Lytechinus pictus: one gene and its partners. Each later gene encodes a partner of the first gene's protein in a complex. Links are inferred from orthologs where the notes say so. Each region holds a gene or a part of one and is shown in the gene's direction. Other genes may lie near its edges.

Region 1 (7,761 bases):
AAAAGGAACATGAATAGGATACATATCTCACCAATCGAATAAAGCGGGCTCGAAGCGCGATCTGAAAGTTTGTGATATTCCAACCTGAAAAGTGAAAACTAAACATCCTAAGCATTTTTTTTTTGGAACCAGGAACAGAATGAGTACCTTACTAAACAATAATTGATGCGAGCGCGAAGCGCAAGCCAAAAATGTTGTGATTTTCTAACCTAAAATGTATAATGTTTTACTTCAAAAAGGGTAATTCATTTTGAAAAAGGGCACATTTCATTTTGAAAAAGGGCATTTTCCATTTAGAAAAAAAGGCATATTTTTCCAACGGGGATTTTTTTTGAGGGGGGGGGGGGGGGAGTGCCCCCCTGCCGTTGGTTCCACCGCCCCTGATTAACTTGAAAAAGCAATATTTTTAGTGCCATCTTGAACGAGATTATGTATCCAATTATACATTCAATGCGAGCGCCAGGAGTGATAAAAACATAGACCCTAAGCAAATTATGTTTCATCAAATTATGGGGGGAAACGTCTTGTATTACATTCCCCCTCTATGTTTCTCTTTCTTTCTCCCTCTTTTCCCCTTTTCCCTCGTTTTTTGTGTCTGTCGATGGGAGGGGGGGGGGGCATGTGTCCCCCGCGCCCCGGGAATGCGAATGATGTTGCACACACACTTATAATCATTATGATTGAATTTTTTTTTCTGCTTAGTAATTTGCTATGAGAGTTAATATCTTTAGTTGTGAAATGAGCCAAAACAAAAATTGAGGGGACACACCTTTGATGCACTTCATGCAACATGCCGTGCGTGCAAACAATTCTTAAAAGTCGAGAGCGAGCGAAGTGAGCAAGCATTTTTCCTTTTTAGAATGAGAGTCTAATTTTGTGATAGATTTAGATATGTCATTCAGAAAATAACACATCCTTACCCCCTTTACCTTTCATTTACTTTTCCTTTTATGTTTTCCCCTCTTTTCTATTCATTCATTCATTATTAATTGATTGATTAATTAATCTATTAATTTATATATTCATTTACTTATTTATTTACTTATTCATATATTCAATTATTTATTTATTCCTTTATTTATTTTAATTCTTCTTTTTTTTTTTTTTTAAGGGGAGAAGTTATTGCCCCAAATCCATCACCCATATCTACGCCAGTGACTATCATACTATACCGGCATCGAACAATACTCGCCTTTAATTGAATTGATTGGTGATTAATCAGGCCTAATCTTGATTGAAAATGAACCAAAATACGGATCCTATTTTAAGATAAGAATTAATGAGTTCATATGGATACCCAAAAAATATCAATACACACATTTGCATATTTTTTTAAAAATCGTTGATTCATTCTTTACAATATTCACGATATTATTCTTAGAGAATATAAATTTAAATTGTTTAAAAGAATTATTCATTTCATTACATATTACAATGAAAAAAATACAATTTTTGAAAAGTATTTTTAGATACTAATGCTTTCATATCAGATGAAGATTAGTGTGCGCTCAATTTGCAACTTAATCTTTATAATTATGCTCTCGGGGAGAGAGTGGGAGAGAGAAAAAAAGAAAGGAATACAAGAGAAAATTGAAAAAATGATGAAATAATCATGTTTAGGAATGTATTTTTGAACAAATGAATTTTAATTTTGAACATTCATTTTTTTTAGTGTCGCTTGCTTTGTCCACTCGCGACTATTTTGAAATAGGCATCGAACGTGATGTTTTGTCCCCTCATTTTTGTCCGCTCATAATCCACTGCTCCATACACTTGTCATCACCACTATACCACAAAAGCCATTCACTTTTTCTTCTTTTCTCCTTCCTCTTTCTTCGTCTCTCTTTCCTTACAACCTGTCATAATTGTCATTTCTGAAGCACGTAATTACAATAATGGAAGCCATCATCTCTTGTTCTGTCTCGGCAAGCTTACTTAGTCAATCCAAAAACTGAGTTATAATTAGCATCGATGTTGCTATTAATACCTCTCCCGCTCGATAAAACCGAGAAAAGGACACTGTAAGTAGGTATATTAAGGGTGATATATAAAATTCGCCAAGTGAGGAAAATTCACATCGATCTATTGATGTGAGTCGGTGGGTTGAAAATTAAAAAGTTGATGACTTCAGGCTTGAATGCTTTTTTTGCTTGAAGGTTTGACAGCTATATGTATCATTTCATTTATATAATTTTCAACATTGAGTTGCATTTATCAAAGCCCCCTGTAAAATATGTTTTCTTTTTTTTGGTAAATAAGCCTACTGCCCATTATGTCTTGATATAACCCCTTTCTTGCTAACAAAATACACTTGATAATCATATTCGAAGCAAAACCATTTGAAGGGTAGATTTTTTTATAATGATGTTTTATTGTATTCTCTTAAATCAAAATAAACATTCACATTCCATAAGCAAGTTGTACAAACTATTTGAAACATGATTATAAATTACACAATAATCCATAACAAATATAATTATACAAATTATACATCACACTTCAAAGATACTAGAAATTAATACTAATGCGTTTCAGCAATTACAAAATGAAATATTAACAAGATGTATGAATGATAAGAGAGGGAAAAAAAAGATAAAAAGTGTTGTTCTACCTCCCAACCCCCCCCCCCCCCCCCGTACCCAGGTTAGGAGCACCCTCCCCTTTTTATGCCTATGTATAGTTGGATGTAGTTGGATGGCCCAATCGATTCACAGTCCAAGATATTTCATGGATCATTTTGGATATAAAAGAATCCCTATTTTTCGTTGTTAGAAGATGACCCCCCCCCCATTTACTGATTTCCTTATTTTTAATTACAGGGCTCTAGTACTCGGAAATTGTCTAAACCTATTCATTTAGATTTTCAAAAAAAAATCCACCGGCTAATAAGTGCATGCGCACGAGGTTCCTTATTTTTAATTTCAAAACACACACACACCCAAATCGCTCTCCTAATGAGCTTGGTCGTTTCGCTTGCTTGCTTGTATGTATTCCAGAAGATTTGAAAATTGAATGTATTAATCCGCCCCTTTCGAAAAAATCCTGTGTATGGCCATAAAAATAAATAATATTATTAATTCAATTTGAGCAAAATTCTTTTTCGCCTATATTATGAAATATGATGGAAATTTATGTTGATTTTACGATCGGTTTAACAAAGCATTCGGATTTCCTACAAGAGGGAGAGGGGGGGGGGGGGGTAAGGACCTTAAGATTCCCACCCCCCATCAGTGCGGTCAGCCAGTACCCCAACTCAATTATTGATTTTTGACTAATGATCTTTGCAGTAGTTTGTCCCTTTCCCCTTTTTATATCGCATTGGTTCTAAATAACATGCCTGCTCGATCGCAGTTTATCTTGAATGAAAAGTGGACAATTATGAAGTACGCCACCAACGTCTTAATGCAAAACATGATTCAGATCTTCAAATATTAGTCAACTTTGTATAGTGTTCTTTAATCTGATGCCGTTTTCAGTGTTTATATGAGTTTCATTTTATGTTTATTTTTTTTCAACAGGATAAGTTAAAGGATGAAATAATTGAAAATCTATATTTTCTTGTCTGTCAAGATTTAATTCCTATTAAAGGCCTATCCGTCGTGGAGCAATTCACTCTTATTTGAATAAAGTTACTCAATCGATGCCTCTTTAACCAGTCTATATATTTCCCCGAAAGAAAAAAGTCTAATGCATTTTTTAAAATAATATTCACATGAAGATCTTATATAGGTTCAAATTTTGCATGGACACTGTTTGTTAAAATTTGACCGACCAAACAGTCAGCTTCTGTTAACTTAGGAATGGCAAAACTGTTTACATTCCTCAACCTAGGAGGGGCGTATGCCCAATTCTAAAAAAATGTATTTCTTATGCTCTTCAAGTTATTAAGCCTAAAAGAAAAATGAGGGGGGGGGATGGATCCATTTTTATGAAGTTAAGATTCCATTTACATTTCATGAATAAAACTTTCAAAGCAGATATTTAGACATTTTGATTAATATGTGAATTACATTTTATTATGCCTATATCTGTCGCTCAGCATGTCAAAATTTATTTTCCAACTTAATGGATTGACTGTGGTGTTAAAAGCCTGTTATTTTAATCACATTTTTATTCAAGCCATGGATTTAAACATTTTTAACTCGATCGTTGATCATTATTATTGCTTTGATTTCTAAATGCATTTATGTCCAAATAGATAGATTCGTAAGTACTGTTAGATAGAAATAGATAGATTCGTACGCCTGTTTATGAAACTTTGACCCCCCCCCAAAAAAAAATGACAGCATGACACGATCGACTCTATTCCAAAGCTCGATCATGTTGCAAAGATTAAAATCAGTCAGATATTCAACAAATATATTTAAAAAAAATATTTATTTTATCCAAGAATAATATTAATATTTCAATGGGATGGGGGAGGGGTGGGGTCACCACGGCACCACGTACGCCCCCGCCCCCCCCCCCCCCCAACTACCAAAAAGTTAATTAACTTAGGGTCTACATAATATATTTCGATATGAATTTTGAACAAAACGCAATTGTGAGTTAGAATTTTCTGCAGAATACATTTTAAAAAACAAACCTCCCGCAAGCCTTTAACAGTCTAACACCTACAAATTGTAGAAAAAAAAATCAATGAATGGGTGCGGTACGAACATAACGCGGGAACCTCGAAACATGAACATATAACTGTGCGTGATGCAAGCAAAAACCAAAAACGTGTGCATTTGCAATTGTGCGCGTTCGTCGTACGTAAATCAATGAGAAAGGCCGAGCTAGCGAGTGATCTGAAGACTGAAAAGCGGAGACCGGAGTCTGGACAAAGATTGAGAATAATATATAAAAACTATTTGGAATTTCATAATTTTTATGTAAAATTTGCATAAAGGTAAGCCTGAATAAGAGAAGTAAGGTGTGGAAATCATCTTTATTGAGTTTGTTAGAATAATTTTATAAGTTGTAGTTAGAGGTATCAACTCTTAGATGAATAGCACGAATACGAACGGATGGGACTGTAGTAAATTTTCAGTCAACGTGATGATGAAATGAATCATTGATATTGAATGTTATTTAAAGTTACGGCTTAACTAAACTTTTCTGAAAGAAGTTCGGCAATGCCAGAAGTTCGACCTTATTCTGAAATAAGTCACCTCTCTTCTCGTGTGTGTGCGCTTGTATTTGTAATTGTAATGGGAGAGGAAAGGAGTCGCCGCCGCCGCTGATGAAAATTGAAATAAACGGCAGTGAATGGAGTGATGACTTAAACCAGGTCCAGATCCAGGATAATGTCAGAAGTTCTTTGATTGTTGCAAAAAAAGGTGGGCATTATCATAATATTGGGAACCACCGTTCACTTCGTACAGCAGCGCTAGCCTTATTTATAGCTGGCAGCTGTCTGTTTCGAGGAGTTTTTTTAACATTAAAAAAAAAAATTCTCCTTGTACACAGACGGCTCAGGCCCGCAAAGCGGGCCGGAGCCCAGAAGCTCACTGTGTATTTGCCCATACTCACGTGACTAGGGTAGATTGTGGTAAAAATATCTAGCAAAATAAATTGAGAAAACAGAAATTATGCACTTACCACGATTATATGGATGATGAAGGTCTATCGTGTGGCAGTATCCTGACATCGAGGCACAGACTGGAACCTCGAAAAAAACGAAAAGTTTGTCGCGGTAGCTATTCTTTCAGAATTCATAGCAAAATGGCCGATCGAGACCGGTACCGAGGGTGTAGGGCGCATGCGCGAATTTGACCAAGTCTATATGCGCTAGTGCTATAGCCTCGGTCTCGATCGGCTATTTTGTTTTGATTTTTGAAAGAAGGAGAGCTATCGTGACAGAACTTTTCGTTTTTTTGAGATTCCAGTCTGTGCCTCGATGTCAGGATACTGCCACACGATAGACCTTCATCCATATAATTGTGGTAAGTGCATAATTTCTGTTTTCACAATTTATTTTGCTAGATATTTTGACCACAATCTACCCTAGTCCCGTGAGTATGGGTAAATACACGGTGAGCTTCTGCCTCTGGGCTCCAGGTTAGTGATAGTGCAGCCGCCATAGTGCAAAATTCCCCAGACAGGGCTCATCGATTCTTCTCTTTATTTCAGAAAAATATATAAAAAGAATTGGACCAAAATAAAGATTATTATTTCGTTTTGGCCTGAAATGCTCCAAAACGGGGAAAAAACAGTGACTTACTTTGGCTGTCGGGCAACTCCCACTTCCCTGGTTTATCCGAACTTAATACATAAACATATGGCCATTGAGTCCCTGTACAGATCCTGTTAGAATTTCGGTCTCTGTAATCGGTGAGTGGAGCCAACGGAGTTCAGCGGAACAACCAATATCAGAGACCTGAGCTTTTGGTCTATGCTAGCCTTAAATAAATTAATGCAGTAACAGACTAGCGCACAGACACAGTGCCTAATCTTATTACATTAGTGCACAAATGTCATGAGTGCGGGATTCAATTCAATTCAATTTTATTCACATCTCTTTAAAAACATCAAAAGATCAAGTTTACAAATCAATACAAAATACAACATACATTATACATAACATAAAAGATATGGTAAAGTTGAAGGGAGGAGGATGTGGGGGATAAACAAAAGGCCATTGGCCTGTCAAGGTAAATCAAGGTACATACATTTTATTGGCATTTCTTGTGCAATATTTATTTATGTTGATGTTATATTCAAAGTATTCATTAAAATATTTTGGGAGCAATTGTTTAGAGTAAGAAAACATAAAAGATGCTAGTTGTAATTTATTTATATCATAAATATTCAGTATTTTCAATTTCTTAAATAAAGGTTGAGTATGTGCTAAATAATTGGCATTAGAAATAACCCTTATTGCACGTTTCTGTAATAAAAATAATTTCTGTAATGAATGAGATGAACAGCTGCCCCATACAATATTCGAAAACATGAGATGTGATGAAATCAAGCAATTGTATAATTTAATTAAAATTCTCAATGGTAAAATGTGTTTCAAACTATTAAAAACTCCTATGGATCTTGATATCTTTAAACGAGAATGAAACTCTTGGAGCAAGTTAGCTTTTGTGAAAGCAGAAAAATCAAAGAATAAGATCAACAAAAGTTTGAGTAAAATAGGACTAGCAATAGAAGAGTTATGAGCATTTGAATGTCGAGATCACTAATGCTATGGAGATCCTCCCATTGGCAATGCGACCAAGATCTATGATGTCACAGATGAACAACTCTCCCCTTTTGGACACTGAAAATATACCCCAAAACATCTCTTTTTGCTCATTCTAATCATATGACAAATGATTCATCAATGATATAATGTTGTGAAACCTCTGTACTTGTCCTCTCATAAAGAGAACACCTCACCTTGTGATAGACTCTATAAAAGTGAGAATATAAGTGAAATAAGCACTAAAGTAATGAGGGAGTTGTACGTGTGTGACATCACAGATCTTGGTCGCATTGCCAATGGGAGGATCTACATGGCATTAGTGATCTTGACATTAAAATGCTAATAACTTTCTTATTATTCATTCAATCTTCCTCAAACTTTCAACAATATGTTTCTAGGATTTTTCTCTTTGATATGGATTCAGCTGGTTTCAAGGGTTTCATTCTCCTTTAAAGCAATGTGATTTACATGTTCCTTCCAATTCAGGTTTTCGTCTATGATTACGCCAAGAAATTTAGTACTAGTTTCTCTCTTTATTAATACATCATTAAGTTTTATATTTATTTCACTATCTTGTATTCTGCAAT
Region 2 (7,661 bases), on another chromosome or scaffold:
TAAAGATGATGATGATGATGGTGATGAAATGAAGATGATAGTAATGATGAAAGTGATGATGATGATGGCAATGAAATTAAGATGATATTAATGATGAAAGCAACAAAGTGATGATGATGGCAACGGCGATGGTATTGGTGGTAGTGGGAATGCTGATGGTTGTGATGGTGATGATGCTGCTGATGAAGATGGTTGTGGTGGTGATGGTGATCATGATAATGAGAACTTTTTGATGAATCGTCACTAAGGTACTATACACCATTGTTGTAAAGAACATATATGTAAGGGAAAAGTTCTTGCGAGAAAAGATGATTGTTTTCTCTTGATTGGAAGATCTGTTCATATATGTGATACTGCTTTGATGATGATAATGATTTGTAAACAAGTGCACACCTAGTTGCAAATAATGCATTATTAAAGCATTTCCATTTATTTGAATGCAGGATGAAGAGCATTGTCAATTAAATGCCTTGCTCATGAGCAAACGTGCTGCGGCCTGGGATCGAACCCTGGGCTCTCCATGTATAGCTAGGCCCCTTAGACCACTCGGCCGCGGCACCTCCACATGATGATGAAATGAAGATAATGATAAATAAAGATCATCAGTGTGGTGGTGGTGATGATGATGGTGATGATGATGATGGTGATGATGGTGATGATGATAGTGATGATGATGGTGATGATGATGATGTTGGTGATGACTGTTAGGCCTGAATTGATTATCATGAGTGAGTGGTACCCGGGAGTGGCACTGCTCCCTGTACGTCTGAGGCGGCGAAGTGCACAGTCGAGCGACGTCGAGTCTCGATTGAAAGTGAAACCGCCCTCTCTCGATCAATTCCCGGGACTTGAGTGAGTTGCCAGAAATAGGAGACCGAAATAGGACTGCTGGCTAGCGACCGACGGATTTCCATTCTAAGCCGTTCTCTGATTGGTCAGTTAAGACAGTGCGGTGTCTATGTATTCCGTGTGTGTATGTGTGATGCGAAGCGTGCTGTACATGTGTTCACTGGCTGTGTGTGCATGTGAAGGATAGAAGTTTCTTACAGCTCTTAATTTAACTGACTCTCTTTCCAAGCTTAAAATTATAATGATAAATGCTACATTCCAATTGTGTGATTTGTTTGTTTTAGAAAAGGTCTTTTATTTTTTCCTCAGTCTATTAATTCTCCCATTATTAAAGAGTCTTCACTTGCGTTTCATTACATTATACAATGTCCACTGTAATGAATGGAAACATGCCAGTCAATGGACATGCAGTATTATAAAAAATGGAAACATGCCAGTCAATGGACAGTATTATAAAAAATGGAAACTTGCCGGTCATTATTGATCAGTATAATATGAAAATGGAAACATGCCGGTCAGTTTACCATATGTTCTAGTGTTTAATGAAAATGGAAACATGCCGGTCAATTGACCATATATGTTTCAGTGTATAATAAAAATGGCAACATGCCGGTCAATTGACCATATATTTCAATGTATATAATGAAAATGGAAACATGCCGGTCAATTGACCAGTAAAATGAAAATGGAAACATGCCGGTCAATTGACCGGCATGTCATGACGAAAGAGCTCCGTTTGATAACACTACCCAGGACCAAAATCCAGTTAAAACCAATTAGGGCAAAACCAATTGAAACCAGTTGGCCAACTGGTTTCAATAGGGAAATTGGAACAACTGGTTCCAATTGAAAACCAGTTGCCAATTGGTTCCAATTGAAAACCAGTTGCCAATTGGTTCCAGTTAAAACCAATTGGGCAACTGGAACCAGTTGGCAATTGGTGTCAATTGGTTCCAGTTGTTCCAATTTCCCTATTAAAACCAATTGAATCCAATTGGAGGCAACTGGTTTCAATTGGTTCCAGTTGAAACCAATTGGAGGCAACTGGTTTCAACTGGAACCAGTTGAAACCAATTGGTTTCCAACTGGATCCAATTGGAACTAATTGGAATGAACTTGATTAGTTACAAATTAATTAGCATTTGCACTAACTATTGCTCATATGCCAACACAGAAGCAGTATTATATGTCTATTAATACCAATGTAAAGGGCATTGATAAAATACAGACTTTCACATGTATATATTGTACGGAAGATCTTCAAATATATGTATTTTTATTTGATGTAATTTGGTAACAGTTAGTGGGGTACTAATTATCCTTTAATCTGTTTTAATTATAATCTATAACATTTATGAACATGGTTTTCACTGCTAAGTATTCTAAATACTTATCTTTAAAAAGTGTGGCACTTGAAATTGAAAAGAATTAAATAGATACATTGTTAATGATGATGAATCTCATAAAACATTAATCTGTGCACACTGGCAGATAATATGCAAATTAACTGGTTTCAATTGGATCCAGTTGGGTAACTGGAAAATTTCCAATTGGAAACCAATTGGAAATCATTTCCAGTTACCCAACTGGTTCCAGTTTTATTTCCAGTTACCCAACTGGTTCCAATTAGAATTCATTTCCAGTTACCCATCTTTCCAGTTAGAAGTCATCTCCAGTTACCCAATTGGTACCAGTTAGGATTTCCAGTTACACAACTGCATGGTTCAAGTTAGGATTTCCAGTTACCCAACTGGTTCCAGTTAGGATTTCCAGTTGCCCAACTGGTTCCAGTTGGGATTTCCAGTTACTCAACTGGTTCCAGTTAGAAATCATTTCCAATTGGAAGTCATTTCCAGTTACCCAACTGGTTCCAGTTAGGATTTCCAGTTGCCCAACTGGTTTCAATTGGTTTCAACTGGAAATTGTTAAATTCCAGTTAAAACCAATTGAAACCAGTTAAAACCAATTGAAACCAATTGAAACCAGTTGGAAATCCAACTGGTTTCAATTGGATTTTGGTCCTGGGATACCCCTCTTCTCCAAGTACGAAAACCCTACTGCCCCAGGCATGCAATGTAAGTATCAAAACACCTGTTTCTTGACCTCGGTCCGAAGATAACACAACAGCCCGAGTGCGGTCCGGGAAAACATGTCGCCATTTTTTATTCACTTACTTTCCTTATTTCGAGGTTGATTTTCTTTGTTCGAAATTGAAAATGGGCTAGCATTGAATTTCTGAATACAGTATGCCTTTGAAAACGTGATTAAATATCGAATACAATAATTTAATTCCGAAGGTCCTTCTACAGGCAGAGAAGACTTACGTAATAGCACATCTGTTGTTATCATTTCGTCCTTGGCTCAACGCTCATAATCTGGCCTTTGGGGATTACCTGGCCAAGCGGGGTTGATCAGGCGGGTGTTTCATAAAGCTGTTCGTAAGTTAAGAGCGACTGGTGATCATGTCTTGCGGTAAATGGTACAATTGGCGATGATCACCAGTCGTTGTTAAAGTCGCTCTTAACTTACGAACAGCTTTATGAAACGACCCCCAGGGCTTGGAAATGATGTTTTAGATTTTCAAACGCAAAATGGGGTGAAATACCGCAGTTTGCAATCCGAACTGCGGTCCGTTCCCAAACGGGGGTAAGACGTAATGTGTTTCCATTTTCATTATACACTGAAACACATAGCCAATTGACCGGCATGTTTCCATTTTCATTATACACTGAAACATATAGCCAATTGACCGGCATGTTTCCATTTTCATTATACACTGAAACATATAGTCATTGACCGGCATGTTTCCATTTTCATTATACACTGAAACACATAGCCAATTGACCGGCATGTTTCCATTTTCATTATACACTGAAACACATATAGCCAATTCAATTCAATTCAATTCAATTCAATTCAAGGCTTTAATCCAGACACAGCCGCATATGCAGAGGTCCATATCAACAAATAACATACATGTAATATACATCAAGACAAACATACAAAGATAATACTGGAATAAACAAAGAACAAATAAAGTATAAACAGTCAAAAAGGAGTAAAACAAATCACACTAATAACTAGGAACAAACAATGAATACCTAAAACAAGTGGTTAAGCAGTAAGTGAATAGTACAACAGTACAATGGAAATATTTACATATGGCAAAATGAGTAACTTGTCTCGAAAAAGACAAAGATACAGACTAATATTAGTAGACCACTAATTACTTATGACTTAACCCAGAGAGCTCCCGCCCGCGCAGCGGGCGGGAGCCCAGAAGCTCACAGTGTATTCTACCATTGCCACCGAACAAGGGTGATTTATGGTCTAAATATTTCTCCAAATGAATTGTGAAAACAAAAAGTGTACAATTACCACGATTATATGGATGAAGGTCTAGCGAGTGGCAGATTCCTGACATCTGAGCACAGTCTGGAACCTCAAAAAAACCAAAAGTTCTCTCCTTCTACCCAGTCTCGATCGGCCGTTTTGTTACGATTTTTAACAAAAATGGCCGATCGAGACGGGGTAGAAGCAGAGAACTTTTCGTTTTTTTGAGGTTCCAGACTGTGCTCAGATGTCAGGAATCTGCCACTCGCTAGACCTTCATCCATATAATCGTGGTAATTGTACACTTTTTGTTTTCACAATTCATTTGGAGAAATATTTAGACCATAAATCACCCTTGTCCGGTGGCAATGGTAGAATACACTGTGAGCTTCTGGGCTCCCGCCCGCTGCGCGGACGGGAGCTCTCTGGGTTACTTATGACTCTGCTAACAAATTGTCATACCAACGCTTCCACAGTTCCGAGGTGTACCTCGTACAGCTCTGTAAGGGGTTAACCAATATATTTACAATAGCATTTTCAGAAATGTCAATTCTCTCAATAAACTTAAAAGTTAGGTTTCTAAGAACGGCTTGACATGAAGGTACATTAGCGTCAGCAAACATTCTACTAGCACTAGAGTGCCTAGGTAATTGAAGAAGCATTCTCATAGCATCGTTATAGGCTACCACAAGTTTCCTTAAACTGCTCTTTTTATATCTGCACCACAAATGTGCAGTATACAACGGTGTACAATATGCTCGAAATAATGCAATATATTTACAATAGCATGTTGACCAGCATGTTTCCATTTTTATTATACACTGAAACATATATGGTCAATTGACCGGCATGTTAGTATATATCTCTATGACACATGCACAGCACGCTTCGCATCACACATACACACAGTACAGTACACGGAACACACAGACACCGCACTGTCTTAACTGACCAATCAGAGAACGGATAAGAATGGAAATCCGTCGGTCGCTAGCCAGCAGTGAAATAGGAGTGGGGAGACGTCCAATTTTCATCTGAACTTTCGATAATACCTTGTATAATGCATGGTCTTGGGATGCAACCGGTAAGATTACTATTTAAGATCAATTTAGATTATTTTTCTTTGTTGTAGAATGTATAAAAGTGCCCAATTTTCGGGAAGGATCTTCACACATTTCAAATACCAACAAAACTGTTCGGCCTCGGTCCCACCTACTGAAAATTATGTAGGGGTCATATTAGTTTCTAGCGAACGATGGTCAATGCTTTCATAAGATAATTTTGTATCTGATTGATTGAAGATTAATCTCTTAATTGAGCGTTGTGTAAAACAAAGTAAAAAAACGAGGCATTATCGTGGTTTATGTCACCAGTCCATTCATTGCCGTTTATTTCGTCAGCGGTGGTGACTAACGTTAGTGGTGACATCTTTCCACTCCCATTGACTTTGTACACAACGATCGCACACACACCGACGCACACGACAAGAGAGGTGACAAATTTCACGATTAGGCCAAAAACGACATGCTGAATGTCTGATGAGTGAAGTTAAAAATAAAACAAAAATAAGTTAAAAACAAAGCATGATGAACTTGAAGAAAAACATACATTCATTTGAATTGTGCCAAGGCCAAGCCCAAGCTAATTTTTCATGATAAAAACTATATTTAAGATAGAAGTTTACAAAGACAGCCCCCCAAAAAAAAATTGGCAAGAGTTCCATTAGTCTTAGACAGCTGGCAGCCATCTCGAGGACGAGGAGTTTTTAACATTAAAAAAAAAAAAATTCTCGTACACAAACGGCTCGCGATCGTGCAGCCGCCATTATTAGGGGATTAACAATGCAAAATCCCCTCGAAGGGACTCCTCGATTTTTGTCTTTTATTTCATAAAAATATATAAAAAGAAATGGACCAAAATAAAGATTATTATGTCGTTTTGGCCTGAAAAGCACCAAAATGGGAAAAAATAAACTAAAAAGGAAAAAAATCAAACAGTGATACCATGGTCACATTTGTTCTACGGCGGCCGTACGGCGAGTTGAAAACAGCCGTTTTAACATTTTTTTGTCAAACTACATATAGGTGGTTTGAATCAAATTTAATAAAACGGCTGTATTCGACTCGCCGTACGGCCGCCGTAGAACAAATGTGACCATAGTATTACTTACTTCGGCTGTCATGCAACTCCCACTCCCTGGTTTATCCGAACTTAATACATAAACATACGGCCGTTGAGTCCATGCACTCATTCAATGAACAAGGCACTTGTTCACTGCAACCACCCTGCCTGTGGGGAATCTACAGGAAGGACTATGGCATGCCAATGCTGTACAGACCACACACTTTCAAAAATCATTAAAATATCACTTTTGTGACCAAAATTACTAATTTCCATACAGTTGCAATTTATTTTTCATTAGTAACTTGGAAATAATTTTTGTATTCACTAGAGCGCTCAAAAACTTGAATTTTGGGCATATTTTTGTGTACGCCCTCTATTGGTGGAAAGTAATATGGCAAGAAAATTTTCATTTTTTATCTCTATTTCTAATTAAGAAAAAAATAATTTAAAGAATCAAATTTACTTAAGGGCCAAATTGTATGACAAATAGGTGTTATGGAAACTGTCAGTGTAAAAAAATCAAGCATTTGTCCCAAAGAAAATAAGCCAAACATTGCCACCCTTATTTTGCCACACATGGAGACATAACTGAGAACAAGGTTATATCATAACCTTGTTCATTGAATGAGTGGAACAAGGTTATGATGGATATAACCTTGTTCCTTGTTGTTTCTCCTCACAAGAAAATTCATTCACCTGTCAAGTGCCAACCCCAATCAAGTGCCAACCCCAATCAAGTGCGCTAGTCAATGTAAACATATCAGGTAACAAGATTACTGGAAGACGGTTAGTTGTGAAAAATAGACAGTAAACTGGGGGGAATTGAGGGCACTGAATCTAATTCTAGCACTTTCCATTCCTGTCATTACCGTCTATGTCCCGCATGGGTAAGTGACAAAAAAACTGTCCTTATAAACAAAGACAATCTCAATTTATCAAGACATGATTTGTCTTGGTTTATGAGGATATTCTTGCTTTCTGGGACAATCCCAATTTTTGGACCAGCGCCTCTACTGATAATGATGATGGGTGTGGTGTTTGATATGCAAATATTTTTATATGAACATGCCTAATAATTGATATTGAAATTAGAAAATGTATATACTTTATGCAGTATTAGTATATAAGAACAAATCTCTGCTAATTTTTGGCAAGGGCAGCATCCAAGCTCATAAGGGATCCATCATGCCTCCCAATTTTTAACACCTCTTAAATGATGATCCACAGCATTTATATTGCACCATGTTTTTGTTAACTCTTGTTGCGCTGATGTTGCAATTTTTCACATTCCTACAATTTAATTAAACAATCGTAATAATTATTTTTCTCCCTTACCTTAATACCGGGGAATGTGA
Region 3 (7,320 bases), on another chromosome or scaffold:
AATGAAACCCAGTCAATGATATGGTTAACAAGGATATATATATATATATATATATATATCACTGCAAGTATATTGAGTATATAAGACCATATATTATATGAACGACCGGAAGTCTCGACAGGCTTGCCTTCTTCTTCCATACACTGATGATAATGATGATGATGATGATTAACAAGGATATATACCCGGGGATATATATCACTGCAAGTATGAGTATAAAAGTAATGAAAGCCAGTATATTATATGATTTCCGATGATATATATCACTGCAAATCAGACGAGTATAAAAACAATGAAAGCCAGTATATAATATGATACACAAGGATATCACTGCAATGAGTATGAAATTATACTCAATAAATTTATACATAATGAAACCCAGTGTATTATATGAATAAGTACATGATATCTGTATCACTGCAAATCAAATGAGTATAAAGGTAATGAAAGCCAGAAGGTAACTTGTGACCAGCCACTCAAAACCAACAATTAGTTGCCCCAAATCAATCTTGGGATTTCTTTTTAATTAGCTTGAAAGAACATATCCTAAACTTTAAAATGATAAATAATTTGTTAAAATTGATCAACAATGACCCTCACAAGTGCTTGTTTGAATACAAAAGAAGTTAAACTTGATCTTAAAGCAGCCGATTTAAAAAATTCTCTAACCAAGATGAAACATGTGTACAAGTGCATGTATTAGAACTAATAAACCCTGAAAACAACCATTATTGAGAATGAAAAGCTAAAACTACAAGGCAATTAACCCGATTTTGTAAATAGGCGTCTTATAGACGCCTAAATGGTACACATAAGTGTATGGGATGAAATTAAGATGGTGTTTTCGGTCACTTTATATTTCAATTTTTGAAGCACTAAATAATTATTTTCGAACGCAATTTTTTCTGGGCTTCATTTTTGTAACATATCACAGACACAGGTGACAAGTGTGACCTTCTAGCTCAGATTTTTAAAAAGTCAAACCAATGTGCATACTGTGAATTCTCGGTTAAAATTCCAAGCAGTACACAAAAGAGGTTAAAAAAAAGATCATGTATCTTGTTTTTTTTATATTCCACTTTACAACTTCGAATTTTGGTAGTAAAAAGAAGAAGAACTACCCTTTCAGATAAGCAAGTTTGCTAATTTTTTCTTTTGAAGACTAGATTACTATTTTGGCTATTTGATACAGAGCCTTCCCTGCAACTTGTTGGTCTTGGGGTGGCTGCTTACATATGGGGCAGGGATACATATCACTGTAAATCTAATGAGTATAAAAGTGATGAAAGCCAAAAAGCACTGCAGATGAATGGACTATGAAAGCATCTAAATGGGCCCTCTAACAGAAGCAGTAAAATCTTGAGTAGCATTTTTAGCATTTTGCTGGCGAATTATCAATGCATAAAATAACTTGTTATTTGTTGCAGTAAAACATGGCTACTTGGAAGCAACGTTGGGATGTCGGTCGTGTCGTGTGCGAAAGAAAGCGACCAAGTGCAGCATTTTGCTCATCTCTCGTCTGAAAATAACCCATTTCAAGTTCAAATTATGTTGGTTCTGCTACAAATTTGTTTTTAATGGAGAAGGAAACATGTGTTGTCTCAAGATACAAATTTTTTCTAGACCCCAGCCAACAATTTGTGATAAGTTATGCATAGAATATATTATTTATACATATAATATATACATATAATATATCATAGGTATCCTCTTCATACAACATGTGTGCACATGTGGATCTAAATATTTGCAGTTTTCAATATTGACTTGAAAATTGGTCAGAGAAGATTTTATCAGGAAGATATGGTCCAGGCGTGGATCCAGGGGGGGGGGCACGTGCCCCCCATTTGAGAAGAAAAATTAAAATTTGTAATGTAAAAATGCCATTGAAGCGGAGATGTGCCCCCCCCCCCCCCTTTTGAAAGTGAAGACCTTTTTTTTTTCTTTTTGCTTGTCAAATTTTTTCAGGTACAAAATATCCTTAATTTGTGGTTGAAAACCATTTTTTTTTTTTGGGGGGTGGGGGCTTGTCAAAATTTTCCTCCAAAAAATTTCCCCCCCCCCTTTTGGAAAATCCTGGATCCGCCCCTGATATGATCCCCTGCCCCCAGAGAATCATTGGTTTCTTATTTATCTTCATTATGGGCCTCTGACCCTACCCCACCGAGTTATGTTCATGATTGCCCAATACTAAATGAGATTGATAAAAATAGGATAAACTAAATTGTATTATTTGTAGAAGCGTTTATGATCCGGCATGGCAGCCAAGCATATTTTCTTCCCAAGATTTCATTCAAAATTGCACTGTGCTTTAATAAATAGTTTCCAAGCTGGAATTGTGACTTCTTTAAGATATTACCCTTCCCTTTTGAAATGAGACCCCTCCCTCTGTTTTTCTTTACTCCACCCCACATGAATCTTCCAAAAGTCGAGTGATTAGCTAAATAATTTGTATACTATCAGTACTTGACCCTTCTTGATAATGGAATTTGTTTATGAGAATTTGTCAGTCACTGATACTTTTTGTAAGTTGCAATTGATTATTATTTGTAAACAGGATTCCTGATCTTTCTATCAGCAAGTAATGTAAACATATACTGTCATTTTGTAAAACATATATACATGTATATACTGCATGTTTATTTGGAAAGTTCTGTAAGAAAAACATTGTTTTGGTATTTTATTGTTAATGTCAAACATATTTGTCTGTTTCATTTGTGGTATATGTATGTATTAGTTTCTTGCCAATCCTGTGCAGTTATATATTTGAGCACATAAAGTGATGTTCTAGACCTTAATTCTCTCACATTTTCTAACATTCATTTTAACTTAGAATGTTGTTTTATTATTTTTTTTCATCCATGTACCCCCGCATGTACCTCCCTTCGAAGTAAATTGATGCAGAAGTAAGAGTATTTTATTATTTTAGCAAAATGAAAGTATGGTTGCTTTGATAAATTTTTAATAGGAAAATATTAGAAGTCTTCTTTGATTTTTTTTAATTAAAAAAAATCAACATGTTATGACAAGCACAGCATGTGATATCTTTCTTATTTTTTGAATGAATTTGATATAACATCAATTTCCCAAAGTAGGGGTAAGTTTTATGATTATTTCACCTTTAGGTCCTTTTAATTTACTGATATTTTGAGTTTTACGTGAAATTATGAAATAATTTTTGCATCATTGGATAGCCTTCGACGTACTCTTTAATGTTTGAAATAAAAAACATTGTTAAATTACCCATAAGTCCTTTCTTGGAGGACACTGACGATAATTTCTGGGCATTGCTAAAAAGTTTTTGGGCTCTATCTTGATTATTATTTACATTCAAACATGCATTTAGGATATTCATCATATATTTTTCATTGAAATCTAGATATTTGAAGAGTTTCTCTGAGGTATTATTCAATTTGTATTGCAGAGAAAATAATAAAATTGTACTTATTTGGTATGAAATCACCTAGTGAAGTCTGTCATAATTATGTCCATAAATGATGTTATACTGATATTAATGATTGAAAAATGATGATATGAAATTTATTGACAAAGAAGGAGGAGGAGGAAGAAGAAAAAGATGATGGTGATGCTGTGATGATGAAGATGATTATTTTGATATTGATATCATTTTTATTGTGAAAATAATAAATGATGATGATGATGATAATTGTGATAATAATGATGATGATAATGATAATAAATAATGATAATAATAACAACAACAACAGTAATAATAATCTTAGTAATAATAACAATAAAGATTGTTTAAAGTCGGTGATCAACACAGCTCATAAACAAACAATTGAAATATCATTATTTGGAAAAACAAATTTAAAATATGATTGTAGGTCTACATTATTATCTGGGCCTGTTTTTTTTTTAAAGAATACCAGGGAAGCAAGAAATCATAATGATGATGATGATGATGATGGTGATGATGATGATGATGATGATGATGATGGTGATTATGATGATGATGGTGATGATGATGTGATAATGATGATGATGGTGATGATGAGGATGATGATGATGGTGATAATGATGATGATGGTGATGAAGATGATGATGGTGATAATGATGGTGATGATGATGTGCTAATGATGATGATGATGATGGTGGTGGTGATGATGATGATGATGTTAATGAGTATGATGAAATGATATATAAATTAAAAAACAATACGGAAACCGTCACGTATGTTGGCTTTTGTTTGGGCAAATCTCGCCACATGATGGCGCTAAACGCATTACAACTGGCAGCCATTATTACGTACAATATCAATGACAATCTTTAATCTCAGTAAGTTGAAGTTTAAAACGATATTTCTCAAACTTAGTGCTTTAGAATTCAGTGTTTGTGATATTTTATGATTCTAAGAATAATAATTTTATTGTTGAGCTCTCTTGTGTGTGATATTATTATTGGATGGGTTCGTTATTTTGTTCTGATTTTGATGTGTCGCGTAGGTTCTTTACAATGCAATTCTCTAAAATGTAGTCCCATACGTTGCAATTTGTGTGAGTAAAAAGTAAATGCGTACGTGCGTGCCTGTATTGAACTCTGTCTTTACAGATTAAATATCGATTTAAATGTTTCTAATCAACCTACAGATCTCAGGTAGATGTTATTTTTCAAAGTTGAATTCCATATGACTGGAAGTTGGGGCATTAGAGTTGTAGATCTGGATCCAAAATCAGCAATCACGTTGACTTATGAACGACTTGTTTGAATTTGAGTTGACTTTCGACTGCAATTTTAACTTTTTAAAGTTTGTCGGAGTTGTCAAATATTTATGGTTGGACGTACCCCTTATCGACCACCTAATTTTCTTCTAAGAATCTTAATCACAAAGATTTTAGACTCTAGATCTAATTGGTTTAAGCTAGTTTCCATCTCAAGTCATGTGCAGAAAATGGAGCGGATCAAAATTCCTTTTTTTTAGAAATAAAAAATAGATAGATTGCTTTGCTCTGACTGACAGTAGAGGTGCACGGCCAATATGGGAGACTCTCTCCCAATAGGGGAGACAATCTCCCACATTGGAGACTTGCTTTGCAAAAGGACAAAAGAAACAACACCAACAAAAGCATGATTTTTTCCACCCAAAATTTTGTCTCACTGAGGTCAGAAGCCCATTTGTTTTGTGTGTGATTGACAACAAAAATCCTTATCAAAACAAAAGTAGACGGTGAAAAGGGGTAATTTTTCATGAGGAATCTGCTTATCACATTTTTATTTGCCGCCAAGGTAATCCTTTTGCAGCAAATGTAAACAAAGGAAATTGGTCTCCAAAACTGGAGACTGTCTCTGAAATTGGATACCCAAATTCTTTACAAAAGTCTCTGATATTGGAGATAATCTCCCACATTGGAGACAGTCTCCAATATTGGCCGTGCGCCTCTACTGACTGAGATTCTATTCACGTAGCCGTCATGGCCGTAGATGTCAGTGACCAACGAACATGAAGATTTCAAATTTCCATCCTTCTTTAGGACTGACCAGCTGCTATACACTAATGTTAATTTTACAGCCGATTCTTGTCAGTTTGTCACGGTGGCAAAACATATTGACTTGCGAATCAGTTCGATGTCACCTTCTCCTTCCTCTGCTAGTCATGCTAGTCCTGGAGATCTACAGCTTTTTAAAATTTTATCCCTCTTTTTTTCCGTAAAATCGGTTTTTATCATTACTATGGATGCTGCGCCTAGTTTCCTGTGCGTAGCGTTTGTATGCAATTTAATCTAAATGCGCGCAAGTGCCAAAGGTGATCAGTTTCAAAAGAGGTGGTCGATGAGTGGTGGAATCACTGTACAGGTAGCCGTGGGGACCTTGCCGGTCGTCAAAATCACCGAGCACAAAATTTCATGGCTTTAAACCTGAGATCATAGAAAAACCAATGATTAGAATATATGAAAAATATGATGATTGGGCAGTCCTTCACGTTTATAAATTCATGGAGCCCAATAAATCGCTCTCCTTATTTTTTCGAGGAGCTCAGTTGAGCTCCTCAGAATCGCTCTCCTATAGGAGCTCAATTTAATACAATACATGCATGCTAAATTGCAGATTTTTTTTAAAATTGTAAATGCAATAGCTGTGTAGCTATTAATTAAACTGTGGTGAAACTAGGCCTGGGTTTACAAAATATCGCGCTCCTTAAAAAAAAAACCTAACAAAAAATTGCTGAAATTTCGGATTTTACATCTTTAAATCCATGAAATGGCCATCTGTTTTCCATAATTCCTTGAAATTATTTTGATTTAGTTGAAAGTGAAGAATATTCAGCTCTTTATTGACTCGGATTGACGATGTTACAATCGGTAAATATTGTAGTCCCACATGTAGACTTCCGTGGTGTTGCAACATTAAAGGACAAGTCCACCCAAACAAAAAGTTTATTTGAATGAAAAGAGAAAAATAGGTGGTGGTGGTGATTTTTTACCTGATTGCTAAGAAAGCATGAATGCTTGTAAGCCAACAAGTATAACACTGAAAATTTCATCAAAATCGGATTTAAAATAAGAAAGTTATGACATTTTAAAGTTTCGCTTAATTTCACAAAACAGTATATGCACATCCTGTTCGGTATGCAAATAAGGAGACTGATGACGTCATCCACTCACTATTTCTTTTGTATTTTATTATATGAAAATCTAATTTTCTTCTCATTGTCAAGTAAAACAACAATTAATTCCTCCCTAAACATGTGGAATTAGCATTGTTTAATATTATATGATTCAGTCAAGTTGGTCCTTATTGTCAAATCTGTAAAAAATGAAATATTGTATAATTCTAACAATAACAAACAAAAGAAATAGTGAGTGAGGGACATCATCGACTGTCTCATTTGCTTGTCACTGAGTTGTGCATAATTAACATTTTTCTGAGGTGGACTTGACCTTTAACTGAAAACGATCGTTGATTGTTATACACTTGGTCAAAACCATGAAAATCTACACATGGGACTACAATATTTACCGAGTTTAACATCATAAATCAGAGTCAGGAAAGAGGTGAATATTCTTCATTTTTTGGGTAATTTCCAACTAAATCAAAATAATTTTAAGGAATTATGGAAAATAGAATCTATGCCTATTTTATGAATATAAAGATGTAAAATGTGAAATTTCAGCAACCTTTTTTTTTTTTAAGGAGCGCGATATTTTGTTCTCCTTATTTTATTTAGGAGCGCCGGCGCGATTGCGCTCCTAAAAAAATGAAGGTCTGATTGGGATTCCTTTTGCCTAAACAGACTGACCCCAAAATCGTTCAAAAGAGCATCAGTTTTCGTATTTTGTCCGAATCACCATGGTTTAGGTA

The links.
Region 2: CCR4-NOT transcription complex subunit 10-like (region 1) and CCR4-NOT transcription complex subunit 9 share a complex: the UniProt entries of both Homo sapiens proteins name them as parts of the CCR4-NOT complex. The link is inferred for Lytechinus pictus from reciprocal best matches to the Homo sapiens genes CNOT10 and CNOT9.
Region 3: CCR4-NOT transcription complex subunit 10-like (region 1) and CCR4-NOT transcription complex subunit 2-like share a complex: the UniProt entries of both Homo sapiens proteins name them as parts of the CCR4-NOT complex. The link is inferred for Lytechinus pictus from reciprocal best matches to the Homo sapiens genes CNOT10 and CNOT2.

Annotation. Positions count from the first base shown.
Region 1 is NC_087246.1:48,079,063-48,086,823, reverse strand, and holds the start of CCR4-NOT transcription complex subunit 10-like, read left to right. Parts: upstream 1-4,757; 5' UTR 4,758-4,891; exon of another isoform or gene 4,892-5,321; intron 5,322-7,761. UniProt on the Homo sapiens protein: Component of the CCR4-NOT complex which is one of the major cellular mRNA deadenylases and is linked to various cellular processes including bulk mRNA degradation, miRNA-mediated repression, translational repression during translational initiation and general transcription regulation.
Region 2 is NC_087257.1:20,916,219-20,923,879, reverse strand, and holds the start of CCR4-NOT transcription complex subunit 9, read left to right. Parts: upstream 1-4,640; 5' UTR 4,641-4,684; exon of another isoform or gene 4,685-5,064; 5' UTR 5,065-5,242; coding exon 5,243-5,266; intron 5,267-7,661. UniProt on the Homo sapiens protein: Component of the CCR4-NOT complex which is one of the major cellular mRNA deadenylases and is linked to various cellular processes including bulk mRNA degradation, miRNA-mediated repression, translational repression during translational initiation and general transcription regulation.
Region 3 is NC_087263.1:5,245,326-5,252,645, reverse strand, and holds the start of CCR4-NOT transcription complex subunit 2-like, read left to right. Parts: upstream 1-4,249; 5' UTR 4,250-4,280; coding exon 4,281-4,299; intron 4,300-7,320. UniProt on the Homo sapiens protein: Component of the CCR4-NOT complex which is one of the major cellular mRNA deadenylases and is linked to various cellular processes including bulk mRNA degradation, miRNA-mediated repression, translational repression during translational initiation and general transcription regulation.